Linked DNA regions of Kluyveromyces lactis. The protein of the gene in region 1 purifies or fractionates together with the protein of each later gene. This does not show direct contact. Links are inferred from orthologs where the notes say so. Each region holds a gene or a part of one and is shown on either strand. Other genes may lie near its edges.

Region 1 (4,305 bases):
GCAAGGGATCATTAAGGTCGTTAACTTCAAAGCAAATAATAGTTCCAAATATCAACGTAACTTTCTCAGATATCCGTTTATCATTTGGAATCCGTTCAAAGACCTCGCAATTTATAAACAACGTCTCTCACCTAAGCTCTTTTTCAAGTTGCTGGTTAAATCTTTATTGGGAATCTGTGCTTCAGTCAAAGAACCTTGATAATGACTCCAACTACATTTTACCTAAGAATGAACGATTTGAGTTTTATATTCCATGGGAGGAACTTGATGGGTTTAAAGGAACCTCTGGGAAAGGTCTTAAATTATTCGATTCAATTTCTATCCGGTGGATGTTACTTTGAAATTCGGAGTGACGTTAATCGAAGGACAAGCTAGAGATTGCTCCTAGTGGGCATCATCTAAGGCGATGTGTATTCTATCCAGTTTTAATTCCGAACGAAATAAGTTAAATTTTAATCTGTAAATAAATAAACTATATATTTTTACATTGACATCCGGCATCATCCGCCTTTTCTTTCGTTCTCTAATTTATTCCATGCAGATTCAACAATCTTATCTATCAACTCTTTTGATTTGACATCAGTTCTGCCTTGCAATGGTTTAATGCTACCAAGCTGATACGGCGGATTTATTTCCAGCTCATCAAGAACGACAATGGATTTTCCCTTCCATACTATATCTGATATAGTCTTATGAATGAGATCAAATATAAATTGACCCTCATAGGAAACATTTTTTCCAATTGACATTTCCTTTTTAGCAGCTGTGTCTATTGTCTTAGCCAATGCATTTTTCACTCTATCGAGATCAACGTATGACGGTTTTACATGATCTTTCTTGAAACTAGACGGATTAGCCTTCTCTCCTACTAGTTCCAGATGCTTGATAAATGAGGTCTGAATGATCTCAAATGTGTATGCTTTATTTTTCTTGCCCACAATCAAAGTGATGGTGTCATTATTTGAGTTGAATGAATACACTTTTCCTTGCGTTACATGGTCTAAAACATCAGTAATTTTAACTTTGAGGCCAAGAATATTCTCCAGAGAAATGCTCATTTAGTTTGCAATCAAATATAAACTAGCGGCTTCGGCCAGAAAAGCTTGCTGGTCACTCTTCCACGATTGAACATCACGAGTCAAATTCGATTTGTTTCTTACAGATTTTCAGTTTTAATTTGTGTGTATCACATTTTTCAGGCATTTGAATAGTTACTCAAAATCCAAAAAAAAGTAGCATCGCATTCAATCAGACATGTTAGAATAAGAACGTTTGCAACTATACACTTAAACTTTTTAGAAAACGTTACTTTTGTGGTTCAAATACATTGCGAGGTATTGCCTGAACTACTCCCGTGGTTTTCTATTGATAGCGGCTTGAAGAGCTGTTTTCTTTTCAACATTGAATTAACGATTATTCAATTTGAGAGATAGAAAGGAATCCAATATTATTTGTGGATTGCGATAATGCCAGAGACACAGCGGTCAAGATCTCCGCTATTGAAGTCTTTGTCTTCTAAAGATTTGAGGAGCAAGACTCAGGCTAGACCGCCATTTGCAAAACAGCTCTCCAATGAACACCAGACTTTCCCTTCGGATACGTCTTTATTCCATGATCTGGATAGTTTACTTAGCAAGAAATTACATTTGGGTGATTCAAATGAATTGCAGCATGAAAACAACGGCACAGATAGACAATCTAATGAAGCGAACAATAGCAGTGAGATTATTGATACTCAGGATGATGCTAATGGGGAAGAAGATGATGAGGATTCAGAGTTTGCAAATGTCGATGAGATCGATGGACCAATCTCCCCCAGTTCTAGTTCTGGTAGCCTGAAAGATTATTTCCAAGGTTATGATTCATATACTAACGGACAAGCATCACCGAAGCAACTAAGGAAGGTTTCACCCGAATTGAATGACAAAGATAAAATAATTACATATGAGGATGTCAAAGTTGAAGAAGATAATAATTTACCAGTAGACGATGCATTAAAGAAGTTGTTACAAGAAAAAGCAGACGAGATTGAAAGAGGTGATCTTTCACATTCATTTACCAAGCCTACGTTAGATTGGCAGGCTTCCGATTTTAATTCATTATTTCACGAACTATCAGAATGGTTCATACAAAAGGACTATGGGAGCTTAAAGACTGCAAAGTTGAGCTTTGAAAAAAACTATGATAGTTCGAAATTTATCGAAGAGCGTAAATACGCTATTCAAGTTATTACAGAGCTTGGTAAAAAGCTAGAGGTAAATTCAGTGGATATCAATACCTTGCTTTGTCTGGCGTATATTTCTTTCGGAACTTTTCAGGAAACGAACAGTTATTTCCATCATTTAGACATTCTACGGAGGAATAATACTCTATTGATGATGATTTCAAAGGTACTCTTACCTTGCTTTAAGAAACATGCAGATTGTTGTAGGGTGAAGAACACTAATTTGCAACAATATAATACTCTTTTGTTCTACTCGGGTTCAATCACTTATTTTATGATCAATATAGCTATTGAGCAAAGAAGCATGCACACCAAAGCTGTAGAAGATTTTATTGATGTCGTACATTCATCTGGCTTGATGCTTTTCCTTACAAAATATATAGACCATTGGCGTTGGAAAAGTCGACTCTCAATGAGAATAAGAAATATCATTATTTTATTCCATAAAGTGCTTCTATTACAGTTTGGTGAAGAGAGCCATTATGACGCAGTGAAGAGATTTGTTCTTCAACATCACAAAATTGAAAAGAAAGACTCCTCTGCTTCGAATCTTTCAATATCTCCATTGGAATATGTTGCTTTTAGGGAAGATATCACCTCAAGATTTCCATCTTCTCAGCTTCCAGAACCGACATATCCTAGCATGCTTGACAACCCCAATTCTCTTTCACAATTTTTAGAGATTCCGAGACCCCGTTCGAGGAGCAGTTCTAACATGTCGTTGGGAGAGCCACAAGTGCATATGGCAACGCCTGCACCATCACAGCCGGCATCACCCACAAGCTCGCCCAACGGATTGAAAACGAGGAAGTCATTTCAAGCCAATTTATCATATCCAGCATTTTTTCCATCCTCTGGTGACTATGATACTGGTGTGGTAGACGAACTTAGTAATAAGCTGAGTATTGCGGTGCCTGAGACAGTGTTACCGTATAACATGCAAGAAGCAATCGAAATTTTGTCAAAATCTGTGCATATAAAACTATCTACTAAACAACTATGGCATGAAAGAGAATTATTTATGGTGCAAGAACGAGGATGGACAAACACTGAGGTACATGAGAAGGACCCATTCACGTATAGAGGTATACAGAATGAGGAACCTGAAACCATGAATCGCATCGAAGATTATTATGCTAATGCTTTACCCCATTTTTCATCTCTAGTATATGTTCTATTAGAAACTATTGAAACTTGTATGTCAAACAAAGTATACCTTGAAGAGGATTTTTCTGAAGAAGAAATTAATGAGCTTCAACCACAATTGGAACTTATAAGATCAAAGGAAATTGCAATGGAATCGAGTTCTGCCATACTTTTCCTCCTTTTAAAATGGTTTAAGGTTAGCCACTTTCTTAAATTTGAGTATCTTTGCTCGTTGATTTACGATTCAAAGTTCATTACGACAAGCGTAGGCATCCTTCAATCTTTTACTGATCAATATCAAAACAGAATTTACTCTAAACATTTACAACCTACCCATTCTTTTTGGAGTGAATGTTCTTTATACAATGTTCAATATAAAGAAACTCTTGAGATATCAACCGCAAATGAGAAAGCAAACAGATTAAATCTCCGAATGCTCAATTCCGAGGTGTATCTATTACGAGTGTTATCCAAAATAACTGGGAAAAAGACACAAAGGCTAAAAGACCTACCACTTAATGTTAGTAACATATTCAAGGCATTGTATTCTATCTTTAATCTGGACATATACCACCCCATATTAAAGATAATTCACGAATTGGCACCATTCAAGAATAAAAGATGGAGGGCAGATCATATGGAATTGATTTCTGGAGTGTTCTTACATGAGAAACTTCATTTAACAGATAACTGGATAACAGGGAAGGATATCACGGGCGAGATCAACGATTCCTATGGCCAAGAAATTGCTTTACGGGCCATGCTGCAATTCTACAATTTCTATCACTATAAAAGAACTATGGAACATTGCGGGTACGATGACAAATTCTCTAACTCTTTCTTTTCAAGGGAGGCTGAACTACTCTCTGCTCCTTATTAAAAAATATGGCATAATAATAAGTTAAACAAATGTATTATACATGTACTGTATTGAT
Region 2 (2,843 bases), on another chromosome or scaffold:
CGGGATAAACCGAGGTCGATGACGGAGAATCATTGGATTGGTTCAGCGCAAATAGTTTGGAGCTTGTGAGCGAATTAGACCTTGACCTTGTTGAAAGTGCACCGCTGAGTTTGGGCGATGTTATAGTTTTCAACTGAGCTGTAGTCGGAGTCTGCGTTCCAAAGGAACCAGACACACTTGGTTTCCTTGAAGATATTGCTGAGGAGCTTGAAGAAGAAGCAGGAAAGAGCTGCCCCTGTTGATGCTGTCCATTTGGCAGAGATGTCGGAAGCGTCTGTAGAACTGGCAGTTTTTTAGTACTCAGAGTAGAATCTGATGAAAACGTAGGCGAAGCTGCTGATAAATTTCCCTTTAAAGTTTCATTTGAAGTGTCACTTGAAATCGAAGCCAGCGAATTCAGATGTGAAGTACTTCTACATTTCGAATCAGTATTGGAATTCTTATTAGAAGCCATCTTAGTCGTATATCTTTGGAATTGCTCCCTGACATATGCCTCGTCTCTGCTATCGTTGTTTTGCGACATGGCTTTAAACGACGAACTGAGAGAGGCTCAATCTAAACCAAACGTGAAGGAAAACAGATAAAGCAAAAAACAGAGCGTTACTTTGTTGTACAGTACAAACGTAAAAGTGGCCCTTTAAAAAATCCACCAATTCTCTTTCTTCCTTAAGATTGTGTAATCTCTGAAAGACCGGGAAGAATGCCCTTATAGACAATGAATTGACAAGTAGCCCCGAAAATTACAAAGCAAATCCCCTTTATTTCGAGTTTGCCGCACACCAGTTGTGTTTCTTAGCAATTATAACCTATCTTTATAACGATCTCGTCGCTGTTCTAATCCGAATGGCTGGCACACTTTAGCTACTTTGCTCGGTACCTATGAACCTTTAATTTGGTTCTTGACATGATAATTTTTTTTTTTTTAATGTTATTGATTTTTACAAAGAAAAGTTGAAATCTTTCCAGCCGTAAAGTTTGCTAAACAAAGAATATGGGGTGAACGACTCATCGCTAGGTGGTAAGGTTTATCTGTTGGGCATCTTAAGGTATTCTAGCTAGCGTTGGGATCCATGCATTAAGGGAGGATAAAATATCCCATTAGTGAGCTGTCAAAAAATTTCAATCCGTACTGAGGATATTACATATCATATTTATGGAACTCGATTGGTGTTTGGAACAGCTATATGAGGGGAAACTACTTCCTGCTGAGACGATCAGGGCGTTGTGTTTCAAATTAAAGGAATTGCTAGTGAGAGAATCTAATGTTGTTCATATCAGTACGCCTGTGACTGTTGTTGGTGACATTCACGGTCAATTCCATGATCTTTTAGAGATATTCCATATTGGTGGACCTCTGCCGTCCACAAATTACGTGTTTTTGGGTGATTATGTCGACAGAGGGTTGTACAGTGTGGAGACAATTACTTTGCTGATAACGTTAAAGCTTAGATATCCAAGCCGTATTCATCTAATTCGTGGTAATCATGAATCACGTCAGATCACCCAGAGTTATGGTTTTTATACGGAATGTTTGAACAAATTTGGCGAGGGAAGTCAAGTATGGCAGTATTTCACGGATCTATTCGATTATTTGATTCTTGCATGTATCATTGATGATACAATTTTCTGCGTTCATGGTGGACTTTCACCCAATATTCAATCCATTGATCAAATACGGATTATCGATAGGATCAGAGAAATCCCACATGATGGCGCCATGGCAGATTTGGTCTGGTCAGACCCTGAAGACGACAGAAACGATATCACTTCTTCACAATTCAAAGTCTCACCGAGAGGTGCTGGTTACACTTTCGGTAAAGCTATAGTGGACAAATTTTTTAGCATCAATGGTGTCACAAAGATGCTCAGAGCTCATCAACTATGTAACGAGGGATATCAGGATTATTTTGGAGGGAAAGTCACCACTGTTTGGTCCGCTCCCAATTACTGTTATCGTTGTGGGAATAAAGCATCTATTTTAGAATTATACTCACCAACAGACTTTCACTTTAACGTGTTCGATGAAGCTCCAGAAAATAAACTACTTACAGATCCAATGCTTAATGATAAAACTTTACATTCCTTCTTCGAAGAAGATGACGATGCACACATGGGGCAATATGACGTATTCTCCGATGAGCACCAAGCAAAATATGCTCTGAAAAGACAAGTTGACTATTTTTTATGAAGCAAATGTAACTGTATGCTTATCTCTAACTCTTTTTTCCCTTTCGCTAATGGTATAGTCCCATCTCATATTCAAATATTGAGTATAATATACAAGCTAATTTTTATAGATAAATCATATATGTTTTTACAAACTTACACATAATACAACTCCAAATTAGTTCCGTCGTGAACTTCATAATCTTCTAAAGTTATGTGATCTTTCAATACGCTACCACCTTTTTGTAGCACAATCTTGGATGCTGACGCAGTCCCCAATTGTACACTCAATACCTTCTTAAAATCACCAACAGTATCTTCGCTTAAACATTTTACATTGACTTTTTTTCCAAGACGATCGTTTACTAGTACTTCAATCATATTAAATTTGTCTATTCAAACTCAATGGTATGAAACACGGAATAAACGTGTTTAAAGAGCTTCTGTTCTTCAATCATTTAGTGCTCAGCATGTTTATAATACATTCTTTTCTATATAATTTCGTAATAGTAGAAATAAAAAAGTAAGAACTCTCTGCTCATCGACACATTTATATTACTTCTGCCACACAAGGAAGTAAACATTACCCATTGAATAGTCTTGAGCTGACAAGCAACACGATTGTCCAAAAACGTTGTTCACTAAATAGAGTACTAGTATTGGTCGTTCTTTGTGCA

Evidence for each region.
Region 2: the proteins of FAR11 (region 1) and PPG1 purify together in Saccharomyces cerevisiae (affinity purification with western blotting; 3 studies listed by BioGRID, with this or other methods). This does not show direct contact. The link is inferred for Kluyveromyces lactis from reciprocal best matches to the Saccharomyces cerevisiae genes FAR11 and PPG1.

What each region holds. Positions count from the first base shown.
Region 1 is NC_006042.1:2,261,755-2,266,059, reverse strand, and holds FAR11 (Far11p), read left to right. Parts: upstream 1-1,466; coding exon 1,467-4,250; downstream 4,251-4,305. Other genes in the region: TEP1 (putative phosphatidylinositol-3,4,5-trisphosphate 3-phosphatase), read left to right, coding at 1-341; LSM12 (Lsm12p), read right to left, coding at 501-1,058. UniProt on the Saccharomyces cerevisiae protein: Participates in the control of the reentry into the cell cycle following pheromone treatment.
Region 2 is NC_006039.1:742,234-745,076, reverse strand, and holds PPG1 (putative serine/threonine-protein kinase PPG1), read left to right. Parts: upstream 1-1,153; coding exon 1,154-2,188; downstream 2,189-2,843. Other genes in the region: mitogen-activated protein kinase kinase kinase SSK2, read right to left, coding at 1-523; ubiquitin-like protein HUB1, read right to left, coding at 2,323-2,547. UniProt on the Saccharomyces cerevisiae protein: Involved in glycogen accumulation.